Linked DNA regions of Drosophila melanogaster. The protein of the gene in region 2 interacts with the protein of the main gene of each other region in a pairwise test. Each region holds a gene or a part of one and is shown on either strand. Other genes may lie near its edges.

Region 1 (4,816 bases), on a different chromosome or scaffold from region 2:
TGGAAAAATAGCCGAGAGTTTGTGTGTTTGTCTTGGTGCCTTTTTTGTATTCAGCCACCCGAGTGTTGTAAAAAATCGTAATTACAAAGTTAATGTTCTTTGGTGAAAGGATTAAATTGCTAGTTTGTCCAGGGATATCGGAGTTGGGGCAATTGGAAAAGTAAGTGCCATGGGAACTCGTCCAATGCCACAGGATACGTAGGGGTTCTCCGTATATTCTGAATACGAAAAATCCGACAGCCTGCTTGTGGTAATGGTACGATTAATTGGTATTGATTGCAGTCAGCATTAACGAAGGGAAAATCAGTTAAAGCGACTCAAAAGATAAACATTCTATACTCAGATACATTAGAAATGCACAGCTTTCAAAAGCAATTCAAGTGAAAGACGTATTATAGCAGGAGTGCAGCCGTAATAGAGGAACCTACCTTTGCAGGACTTGTCGTGTAGTTCGCGATCATCCTCGAGCAGCGTCTGGAACTTGTGCTGCAGATTGGAGGCCGCCTCCTGCACCGTCCTGGCCTCATCGTCCTTGGGCAGCAGGGTCTGCAGGTAGGCGTACATGTCGCCCTGCTGGATGCGGATGCGCTTCTTCTCCAGATGCCGCACGAACTGGGCCTCGCTGGGCGTCAGGAAGAGCACGGCTCTGCCCTTTCGGCCCGCTCGAGCCGTTCGACCCACGCGGTGAACAAAATCGGCGGTGGTTTGCGGCGGCGTGTACTGCACCACCAGTTTTATGTCGGGAACATCGATGCCACGACCCACCACATCGGTGGCCAGCAGGACGCAGCTGGCGCAATCGCGGAAGCCACGAAAAACGCCCTGCCGTTCCGTCTGCGTCATGGAGCCATGTAGTCTGTGGAAGAAACAAGCACTTAGGAGGTGCAATTCATTACAAAACATCAAAGCAACTCACTTGAAGAAGCGCAGACCCTGCAGTAAAGGTATGTCGCCGTCGTCATCCGAATCACCTTTCTCCTGCTCGTCCTCCTCGTCGAGAACTCGCCTGGTCAACGCCTCGTTGAGCATGTCGTGATGGAAGTTCACCATCTCCGTGGTGCTCATGAACACAATCGCCTTGAACTGCTTGGGACTGGCGTCCACTTCCTTGGCCAGCAGCGAAGACAGTGCCACCAGACGTAGTTTTGGCGGCACCACCACATAGCTGAGCTGCAGGTTCTCGGGAATACTCAGCACACCCGTCACATCCTCCTGGTACTCGCCCAGTCCGTCGTCCACCTCTAGCAAGGCTTCTATGGTCTCCTTTTGGTAGCCATCCTTGCTCTTCAGCGCCGCACTCGCCGCCTCGTCGCTGTTGTCTATGTACAGGGGATTCTTGAGGGTCAAACCGGCCAGCTGTTGGACCTGCGAAGTCAAAGTGGCACTCAGCAGCATCCTTTGCAGCTGGGGAAGCTCCTTGTCCTCGCACTCCGCACGCTGCTTGTCAATGGCCTCCACCAACTGCTTGACATCGCGTTCGTAGCCCAGCTCCAGCAGGCGATCTGCTTCGTCCAGTATGAGGAACTGCAGTTTGGTCAGCTTGAAGGAGGCCGTGTGCAGCAGGTGATCCACCAGACGACCAGGTGTGCCTATCAGTATGTTGATGCCCTTTCTTAGCCTGGCCTTTTCGCTTTTCCTGCTCTCGCCACCCAGCAAAGAACCGGGCACTATCCATGTGTACGGCTTGACCAGCTTCTGGATGAGTTCGTATGTCTGCATCACCAGCTCCCTGGTGGGTACAATCACCAGGGCCAGCACGCCATCCTTTCGCTGTATCCGTGGCTGCTGTTTCTGCAACAGTTCCACCAAGGGTAGAGCATATGCCAGGGTCTTTCCCGAGCCCGTCTGCGAACGTACGAGCACATCCTTGCCCTGGAGAACTTCGGGAATGGTCTTCTGCTGCACGCTAGTTAGCTCTCGAATGCTAAGCAGATCCTCCAAGTTCTTTACAGCATGAGGATGCAGTCCCAACGTGGATATTTTAGAGCCTGTAAAGATGGTCTCCTTGACGGGCTTCACCGCTCTTTGGCCCAGTTGCTTGAGTGCCTCCACGTCGCTTTGGTCGAAGAGGCCGATCTTCTTGGTGCGAAAACGGTTTGTGGACGAGGTTTCCTCGGCTTTCGGTGGTTTCTTCGCGGTTTGTTTGGGTTCCTTTTCTTGTCCAGGAGATTGTGCACTGGATTCATCTGGTTCCTCATCGGATGTTGCAGATTCTTCGCCGGATTCGCCGGAATCCTCAATATCTGATGACTTTTTGGACTCCTTAACGGCTGAACTCGGTTTTACCCTCGGAGATCCCCCTCCTGAGTTGTTCTTCGCATCCTCCTCATCGGCGCTGGCTTCCTGATCCCCTCCTCCCTCTTCACGACGCTTTTGCCGCCTCTCCTCCTCCAGTTGAGCGCGGAAAAGGTCACCGGGCGTGGGTAATTGATTTGGATTTTTTGGCTTTTTGTTGCTCTTCAGCGCCCGCGTGATCTGCTCTTCGCTGAGCTTCGTCAGTGGCTTGCCCTGCCTCTGTTTCTTGCCCAATCTTTCGGCTCGTGTGATTTTTGGCTTGGCTTTCTGGGCAACCACCGGCTTTGTGGTCACATTTAGCATGAAATCGTCGCCTAAAACGCTCTTAACAGGTGGTTTCGTTGGGCTAACATTGAACATAAGATCATCGTTGGATGCATTTGCTTTGGGGGATGCTGAAAGAGTGGAAATTGCGGATTTGCTGGAGGAAACTGAAGGCGTCGGCGATTTCGTGGTATTGGGAACTGATGAATTTGTAGGTTCAACTTTCGAAGGAGGCGCCCTTCTTCGCACAACGATTGCCTTGACTTTGGGCTTGTCCACATTGAATTGAAAGTCGAAATCCTGGGATTTCTGTGCACGTTTTTTAACCGAAAGCGCGGGCGACTGCTGAAATCAAATATACAATATATAAACACCACTTGAATAACATAGACATAGCCACTAACCTGTTGATTTTTCCGAGCCGACGACTTTACAGTAACATTCAGTGATATATTTTCCACCATTTTGGCACAATTGATGCTCGCAACCAAAGAAGAATCGCGAAACTTTTGTAAATAATAACGAATTGAATAAAACGTGCGTGGCTCTTCTTCTTCGTTTGCCACTCACAGCGAAAAGGTATGGTTACATCTGTTAGCGCGCCAGTGCTACCCATAGAAAAGCACATAGCGCTGCCAGATGAGGAAAAAAAGAAGCATAAGCGCTAAATTCAAATTGCACAATATATCGTTTAAACATCTTTAGTTGAATTTGGCAAAACACAAGAGCCCGTTATATTTAATATTGTATATTAATATATTTCGTATTTGGCAAATTCAGTAACATGTTTGTATTTTAAAGTAACTTTCTCTAAATATAATATGCTTACAACGAGTTTCGCACGCGACATTTGACGACGACCAACAAAAAAAAAAAAAAATAGTTTCACGCATTCAACTGCCTTGGGCAGCGAAGCGCATGGGGTTCCGTAGTAATTGTGGTTTTTGGTGGGTGGTGCTGGGTGGAATGGGCTGGTGGTTCTGTGGTCTGGCGGCTGGGTGGCCCTGGTGGTTTACATACGTGGGTGTCTGCTCTCCTTCGTTTTTCACATCCATGTGGGCATGTCAGCCCCAGCTGCGGGCACAGATGTCGACCACAGACCAATGCATGACGGTGACGGCTGCCTGTGATCCTGCTGGCGATGGTGATACTCCCCCGGGACTGGCCTCAGGAACCCCGACAGCGCTCTGCGATTTGCCAGCTCCCTCCTCCATGCCCATGACCTCATCCCGGGTATGCCCCTGCTGCTCCGTCGTTTGGCAGGCCGCGTACAACAACTATGCGGTCACGTAGTACTCCCGCTGCCTCTTCTGGCACTTCTCGCGCGCAATGTAGCACAAGGCGATCGTGATCAGGAGCACTATGGTCACGCCCATGCCGATGCTTACCCACATGATCTCCTCGTTGATGCCCACATAGGAGCGTCCTGGAGAAAACATAACATAACATACAATAAATCAATGTTAGGGGAATAATCCACATACAGAACCCACCATTGTAGTAGTGATTGGAGTAGCCGGCCTTGCCAGCCACTCGACCCGCTGGCATTTTGCGAAAAGTTCGGGTCAAGTAATAAATAAATGTGCGCGCCCTTTATTTATGTTTGGCTACTTGGCTCGCTGGCCAGCAAAGTTTCAACGGGCTATTTGTTGCTATTGCAGCTGGTTGGGATATTTTATTGGGTTTCTCCTTCTGTTCTTCAATTTCTTTGCCCTTGTTTAATTGGAATTTATGTGTGCAGGCGCACTCTTCGCTTCTCAAGGTCTTTCGGTGGCGCCAGCAGGACCTGAAATTAGCGAAGAGAAAACAAAATTAGAGTAAAATCATTGCTGAAGTTGATATTTTGTCGCGTTTTGAGTGCCATTCAAATTTGCGCGGGCTGTAGTGTTTTGCAGCACTGCTCTGCCCGTTTTACATCACTGCTGAGAAAGAGAAAGAGCACTGCTGTCAGCTGTTTTTAAGTAAATAAACATATTAGTTTTCGACGATTTGATTGTTGCTTATTTGTGGAGTTTCAGGTCAAAATTAATTGTTGGAAATTGTAAGATGGATAGTTTGGAGTCTAAGGAACTGGCAAGCATCAGCAAAGTGATGGAAAACAATGATAAAGCGAGCGAAAATGACAAAATCACCGGCATTACCACCGAAGAAGAAGAAGAAGTTGTTCCCGTGAAGAAGAAGAGAACTGAAGAGGGAGGGGGTGAGCTTAAGGAGGTAGCATGCGAGAAAGAGACAGTGCAACGCGAAAAGTGCCAAG
Region 2 (8,203 bases):
AAGAGATCCCGTGCCGTTAGCTTTAGATCCTCAGGAACCTGCGAGTAGTCAAAGTCCAGAACGATACTGGAGTCACCTTCGTTGTTATTGGCCGTCTCATAGGTTTTGAGCAGCGCCTGGCGATCCACCTTGCCGTTGACCAGCAATGGAACGTGCTCCAGGATGACCACCTGCGGCGTCATGTAATCGGCTAGCTTGTCCTTGAGACGAGCCTCCATCTGCATCTCGGTGACCATGGGGGCATCATCGCGCAGCTTGACGAAGGCCAGAATAGCCTGATCCACCTGACCAGCATGGTAGCACAGAACAATGGCCTTATCCACCAGCGGCAGCTCGGCCACGTTCTTCTCCACTTCGGACAGGTCGACGCGATGTCCACGGATCTTCACCTGAGAGTCGGTGCGTCCCTCGTACATGATGCTGCCGTTCTTCAGGGATCCATAGTCTCCAGTGCGATACAAACGGGCGTATTCTGGAGAGGTAAAGTCGGATTAAGTAATAATAACTAACTTGAATGCATTTTGAAATGTATTCAGAAGATATCAGATGGACAACTTACTCTTCTCCACAGCTAAAGGATTCTCCAAGAACCTCTCCGGATCGCGTCCGTTAACATAACCAGCGGCCAAGTTGAGACCCGAAGCAAAGATCTCCCCAATCTCGCCGTTCTTCACCGGACGATAGTCGGCATCCAACAAATAGACCACGGTATTCGACAGTGGAATGCCTTCAGGATAAGAGATCATGGGTTATACACGACATGGAAATTTTAGAACCCGAGTTTAAGGCTCACCTATGGGCACATTATCGTACAAACTCAGTTGCTTCTTGCTCTCGCACGCAAAGTAGGTGACATCGCCCAATACCTCCGTGGATCCGTAAAAGTTGTACAGCCGGTGCACGCCCTCATCGAAATAGTCGAAGAAGCTGCTGGCCAGGGAAACGGATAGGGGTTCTCCGGAGCAGACCCAAATCTGGAGATTGTACAGCAGTTTCTGAGCAGCTCCGCCTCCCTCCATCTTCAGATACATGAGCAACGAGCGCAGAAGGGTGGGCACCAGTACGAGACGCCTGATCTTATAACGCTCCAACAGGGCCACCAATCGCTGGGGATCCTTGGTCACTGCCTTGGGCACCACCAGAATGGCCAGGCCACACATTAACGGGCCCCATAGCTCCGCAATCGAGTCCACGAAGGTTAGGGCCGTCTTGAAAACGCTCACCGCCTCGTTGGCGGTGTACGGAAAGGTCGCCCACTGCCACTGGAGCCGATTGAGGATGCTCTCGTGCGGCAGACGCACTCCCTTGGGCACACCCGTACTGCCCGAGGTGTAGAGCACGATGGCGATGTGGTCGTTGCCACCGCGCAGCATCTCCTCTGAGAGCAGATTGGAGCCGGCCAGCTGGAGGGATTTGGCATACAGTTCGGTGGTGGATAACGTGGGAGTTCCCTGGAAACGGCCGGCGTCGATGTCATCGTCGCGAATCACCAAGGTGGGCTTCGCCTCCAGCAGTATGTGGTGAATGCGGTTCGCCGGGAAGCTGGGATCGATGGGCAAATACGCGCCGCCAGCCTTCCAGATGGCCAGCAGTGTGGTGACCAATCCCTCCGACGGCTGCATGCACACAGCCACGATGAAGTCACCATCGCTGTTTGGCTGCAGGAACCGGCCGTGGGTCTCGGCCACCAGGAGGCGGGCTGCCCGGTTCGCACGCTCGTTCATCTGGCGGTAGCTGCTCTGACTGGGCGCCATTCCCTGGCCCGTAGTGCTGGGCTGATAGATCAGAGCCACCTTGTCGGCATGCCGCAGCTGCTGCTCCTCGAAGATGCGGTGCAGAGCTCTAGGCACGAAGTCTTGCTGCAGACCCTTGACGATCGACAATTGTGGCAGCGAACCCATCTTGAAGATATATTAACTGTGGGGAATACTTTGTTAGTTTTGGGCTTAGAATCTCAGTCGGAGAATCCCTAGGTTACATCATCATTCCCAGCTCGTATTATGCAATGCAGGCTAATGCCTTGCTGCCTTGCGGTAGCAATTAAATTCATTCATACATGCATATTTATAACACTTCGTGTTAATGGAGCGCTCGCACAATAAACTATTATAATGAATGAGTATGAATATGGGAGCTGGCTTAAACGGATGGCTTCTGTTGAGCTATATTTATTCAATTAAATTGCTGTCTCTTAAGCTGCAGAGATTGCAAGTTCAAGTAAACTGGAATTCGATATTCCATGTTAATGACTTGATAATTAAGGGTTTCAGGGTAATACGATTTTATTAATGTTTTATTATTTATATCAGTACTTAAGAATAGCCTTATGGAAATAGTTGGAATTCTTATTTCTCGCTAAATGGCGTGGAGTATAAAGACTCATTCATTTTATTTTCAGTAATAGTTAAGTTAGTTTTTCTTCTTTGCGACTAAACGCTTAGCAACAGGCACATGTTATTTTAAATTATGGCGACATTTTTATCTATTCGCTTAGCACCATATTTTTCCCTAACCTATCAGTCATACTTTCATTACAGGTTTGTCTAATAGGAGACTAGAGAGCTCCTTAACTTTAGTAAATATTACTTAATGCATTAGCATAGCCACCTGCTTGTCGTTACTAATTACGGTCAGTTTAATCTATGTGGGCTTACACTATGAATTGAGATGTGTTCCGGCTTTGAAAATCCACGTTTACATTGCCAGGTATTTATTCCTAAAAAAATGTGCCTTAAAAATAAAAATAATAATTTTCGAGTTTTGAATAACCTAGCTCCATAAAATGCCTCATCTTGAAGGAGTTACGCTGGCTCAACTGTTGTATCTCGGACATTGGACTTGGCCAAAAGCCTAAACAAGCGCTCGGAATGCGGCATGCTAACTCGTTAATTGCATGGAGCTAGCCAATTGCCAGAGGCACCAGTCGCTGTCCCATTTTACGTGACGCCATAAAACGCTGGCGAAGATTGGTGGAGGTCTTTGTGCTGCTCATGCTCGTTAAGTTCCATTGGCGTGTTATAAAACTCAGCAAAAATGTCATTGCGCCGACCACTTCTGGTCTACTACCTGTATCTGATTCTGCCCGGCTCCAATGTCAAGCGCTCTAATCCAAAACATGAAGACAAGCTGCCGTCTGGAGGCCCAAGAACGACAATTACCCGTGCCATACCCCTGGCCTTAGCAAATGTTAATCTCTGATTTGGTTTGAAAATTTGATTTCATTAGATTTGAGGCCTCGTTGAATGACTTCGATCGGGGAAGTGGAGCAGTTGAGCGGGCGTTGGCGCTGGGAAAGGCAAGGTAGTCAGGAAGCTTCTTTGGGGCAGTGCGCTATGAATTATTTATTTGCTTCCGCTTCTTCTCCAGCCGAGGAGGAAATGTTGTGGAAGTTTAAGTGAAGGGTGGATGTCGAGGTGGAGATGGTTGTGGTAGCTTGTTGTAACCATCGCGGCTGGGGAGCTCGAAACAAGTTATACTTCAATTGCGCAACTTTAGAGCTGAAAATGCGCCGCCTGGCTTCTGGGTCTGGTTTTCGGACTTGCTTGGTTCTGATTCTCGACTGGCATACATTTTTTTGGCAGCCAAGCAATTTACAACGGTTTACGGGGCGTATACGTAACGAATTCAAGGCTAGTCTTAAATCATTTCCCAAGCGCCCATTACGTATGCGCCGTGTGAGTCCAATTAGTTTGTTCACTTGCATAGACAACCTGCACTATGTTTGCCCACTATATATGTATAGTACTACATGTGTATTTATTTGAGCATATATAGTATGCAAGCTAGTACTATACTATCTGCATACAATGCTGACGCAGTCCATTGTTTTGGTCCCGCCACTCGAGTGCATTCTTGAGCCCCTTTGGTTCTTGGCATTTCACATCATCGATTAAATGCATCCAGCGACTTCTGTTCTGTTCACCTTCGCTGCTTCTGTTGATGAGGTGAAATCCATGCGGCTGCTTTAGTGTTATTACTTTTGCCCCTATTGCCATTAAATCAACGAAAACAAACCAAATAGCCAGCATTAAAACCTAGTAGCAGCGCAATCGAAAAGCATTTAAGACCGCCGCAGTACGACGAGTGCTGCTAATAATTTTCCGACCAAGGTTGCATTTGCGTTAGATCGTTTTCAGTTGGGCTTGGAGGTTCTGGCGCTTTTGGAAAATCGTTCCATAATTATCAGCCTGCCATGTAATCTGTAATTTACATAATTATTGGCCGGGTTGAAAGACCGTTTGCCAGTGGCTGTGTTGGCTGTTGCACTTGGCGGATCAACAACATTGCCTAAGGTCGCGTGGTTTATCTAGTATCGCAAATGTTTCCGCTGGTAGTAATTCCGAAGAGTGTGGCTAATTAATTTGTCGAACCGCAGTGGGAGGCGGTCGTTGGAATCAAAACACAACAGGGCTCTATGCTGAAGTCCACTACTGTTCATTGATTGAATGTATTATTATGTCTTTTTTCTGCCGGCACTGATTTGCCTAATTGAGTAAAAAGCGTCTAATTTAAGCGGTGCTGCGGTGCCCCACCATTGCATCTGCACGGCTTTGTTGGGGGTCGTCCCGGTGAGTGTGATCTGTTTTTTTGTCTGTGCTGGGTTTTTTTCTCTGTTTTCCCCACCGCCGCTGCCGTTTTCCGCAGTATTTCCGATTGTGAGTCAATTGGATGACAAGCTCGTATTGTACGAGTATTTGGAAAAGAACAAAACCGCACTCAAGACCAGCAAACGGTCAAAACTAACGATCTCGGCCAAGTGCCTTACGTCAATGGGGGAATCAGTTGGCGAGCTCATTAACGAGCCAAGTTCAAGTCGGCGAATGCAAATTGTGCACCATAAAAAGCACTTGTAAACGATATGCGACACTCGTTTAGCACATACTTAACATAATTAATAGCCGATCGCTTTGGCCAATGACTCAATTGCAATTATAAATCCATCACTGCTGGCTACCGTCAATAAGTATACGCCGCGTTGGCCGCTCTTAATAACAAGCGTTTTACTAAGCGCTCCAAGACAAATTAAATGTCATTTGCTGGTTACTTATGCCAGCCTTTAGTATGTCGATGGTGGTTTGTAGTCAGGCGCTAAACGCTGAGAAAACAATTTGGTATTCTGAGAAAAGAAGGTCTTAAGTCCGAGTTTAAGAGCTTCGTTAATCACTGAACTAATGCAATGCCTCTTCTGACCTCGCCGCGCCTCGAATTCTGGTTGCCTTTTGCATTTGGAGTGCATTCCCAAGGAACGAGCCGTTAGGCGAATCCAGTTTCCTTCTTGAGTTTAGAACTCGTTTACTTCCTCAAAACGATTTCGTTAGAAAAACTGGTCTTCTAATCGCGCCTTTCAAATCGAAGTATTAGAAATCCTGCTACTTAAAAAACTTTAGTTTGGAACTAACAACGATTTGAGGACTTCCTTAAAGTCATAATTGTTTGGCCATTGTGACAACGAAAACCTTAGCCCACAAAAATGTCGACGTCGAGTGAAGCGAGGTGAAAACAATTTGTTGAATCCATTAATTTATGCTTGAAACTAATTACATTTTTCGTCGTTCTGCTTTTTTGTAATATTCTCAGCTTAATGAATTTTATGTAATTTCTGTCGGATGTGAAGTAAGTTTCGTTATATACGAAGGAACTTAATTCGGCCATTAAATAACGCGAGAAATATTTTGTTAACTGCTCCTCAGCATGCATGTCAAGTCAATTTGCACATTAATTTCGGGAAAGCGAGTTTGCCGAATCTAAATAAATACTTGATAATCACGTAATACGTACCGTGGGTAATAACAAATTCTGACACTGGATTTTTTGAACAGGTTCTTGATTTCCTTTTTCAAATGTTTATCTGTGGCCGTTTCACACTAAGCACGTTTTTCTTGAATTTGATTTTCCTTCTATATTTTCAACTATGAGAGAGTGAGTCTACCAGCTTTAAACTTCTTTTTCTGGTCACTTCACTTAGCGTTTCACTTTGATTTTGGGGGGCACCCAAAAAACTTGCAACGCACTCGGGAAACTCAACGTGCTATGTACTTGTAAACGGCGCTCGCAGACTAATCAGAATCCCAGCCCCCGACTATCTTATATATCCGACCGATCCGCCGCTGCCGCAGTCGCCGCCGGCAGCGCAGTCGCATTCGGCTGGCGAAGAATGACTGAAAAAAAAAAACCAGTTCCTGCTCTTACAGCCCCTGCAATTACCGCTCGCAGCATACCACACATACCCATATGCGGGCGCTCAGTGTGTGGACGCCGGATTAGCATTGGTACCGCTTTACTTGGCTCGCCATTTTTTAGCGGACCGCCGAGCGGTGACGTAGGAAATGAAATGGAATGAAATGAAATTCCCCGCCGTCCCCTCACTCACTAATTGGCAGGCGAATTGTACACTTTGATTACTACTTTTCTGCCAACCAGACCATTTGGAAATCCCTCGAGTGACACACACAGCTCACAGCGGATTGGGGAAGGTGAGATGGCCACTGCTTACGCGTAGGTGGAAAGATGATTTAAATTAGTCCTCCTTTTAAGCAGGAGCTAACAAACAATACTAGTAATTAAGTGATATGGTAGTACTTTTAGGGAAATCTAGGAAAAAGTGCGTCCCTCTTAGCTATACAATGAAACTGAAACTGAGAATTATTATGTATTAGTATTGATAAAGTTTATTAAGGTATGTAAATATTTAAAATTCTGAAGCAAATGTTGGATTTAAGTGCACAGCCTATATTATTTCCGCACTATTCGGATTTTACTATTCCACATGAACTGGTATTAGAATTTAATAGCTAGCAAAGCTTCTAAAAATGGTCGAGTTTATGGCCAAGAGTAGTGGCTATTGTAGCATTAACTTCGCAATTGTTAGTAGTAGGTTGTTAGTACTCGTGCGAAAGTAAAATCGCATTAAAATTGGAATTTCAAATCGATCGAGGATCGCAGTCGCTGCAATTTGTAGTTGTCAGTTGGGCAGATCGGTGTTCATACATATCAGTGGATTTGTGAGAGGGATTGCATTTGCTAACATATGCCAGCCGTCATGTTGTGCTTCCCATTACGAAGTCAGTGTGAAAATTTGCAGTTAAGGCGCTTGTCCCCTGACTTTTAGTGCAATCATTACTCAATAACTATGTATCTACTGCCTTCGAATGCAGTCGAACTTGATGCACAGTCGGAATCAATTGGACTTCATAACTACTTTGTAGGAAAGTCTGAAGTTGATCATTGTTTGCAGTGCCAAGGTTAATCAGTTGATTGATTTAATACTTAAAGAAAGCCCTGGCACAATCAAACACTAATGTTCGATCCAATTAATCGATTTTTAATTAGCGAATCATGAGTGTTTCGTACAAGAATCAACGCCAGTAAATCCAAATTGCGATGCGGGCTAACACTTTGGAGCTGTCGATTGCCATCATTACCATTTGCATTTTTATCAATTTGATTTTAATAGCAGAAATATGACAGACTGACCAATTCAGCAATTACTTTGTGAGTTCAAGAATTAAGAACTGATTTTTCATTGTAAATGGAAATAATTATTAATAGTAATAACAATCTGTGTAATAGTCAGGAGATTTGTAATCAATTAAATTTTATTTTTATTTGAACAAGTAAATCATTAAAAGCGCTAATAAAATAAGTTGCTTTCATAAAAATAATTGTCGGCAATTGAACAACTTCAACGCTTGTTGCATTCACTGTTGATTGACCATAAAAATTGCGGATTTTCCTATTCTAAGCGTTCAATAAAAAGTAGTAACTTCCTTCGTTCAATTGCTGTGCTAATTTGGAATTCTGCATTTTAAGCGACTGAAAGGCGTGCTGAGCATAATTAATGAGTTTGGGGGACTTTTGCTGGATGGAAATAAAAAGGATTCACACGAGAATTGGGCCACAACCATAAGCTGGTTTAATATCAGTTTTTAAGTACGTGAATCACTGACAAAATGTTATCTCACCAGTCTGCTGCTGATAAAGTGATCTACCATAACTCGTAATCAACTGATCAACCGAAAGCTAATTGATTTGCATGAAAGTGAGCCAAAAGAAAAAAGAAGGTGTGTCCCAGGTCATTTAAATGAACTCGCTGCTCCCCCACTTATATACATCTGCGACCGTTTGTATCTGTTAGATTCACATTCACAAAGATTCACATCTCAGCGGTACTCACTTCGCACCCGAGTCACGTTTTCAGACCGAA

What was found.
Region 1: the proteins of e (region 2) and CG8611 interact in a two-hybrid assay, tested with the Drosophila melanogaster proteins (one large-scale study listed by BioGRID).

What each region holds. Positions count from the first base shown.
Region 1 is NC_004354.4:17,419,020-17,423,835, forward strand, and holds the start of CG8611 (uncharacterized protein), read right to left. Parts: upstream 3,127-4,816; 5' UTR 3,024-3,126; coding exon 2,964-3,023; intron 2,905-2,963; coding exon 917-2,904; intron 857-916; coding exon 429-856; intron 1-428. Other genes in the region: CG46464 (uncharacterized protein), read right to left, coding at 3,624-3,779; CG12994 (uncharacterized protein), read right to left, coding at 3,837-3,985, 4,053-4,107; ENGase (Endo-beta-N-acetylglucosaminidase), read left to right, coding at 4,606-4,816. UniProt on the Drosophila melanogaster protein: Probable ATP-dependent RNA helicase.
Region 2 is NT_033777.3:21,231,117-21,239,319, forward strand, and holds the start of e (ebony), read right to left. Parts: upstream 6,062-8,203; 5' UTR 5,779-6,061; intron 1,918-5,778; 5' UTR 1,902-1,917; coding exon 794-1,901; intron 728-793; coding exon 560-727; intron 473-559; coding exon 1-472. UniProt on the Drosophila melanogaster protein: Nonribosomal peptide synthase which is required for the regulation of histamine and dopamine levels in various tissues through their condensation with beta-alanine.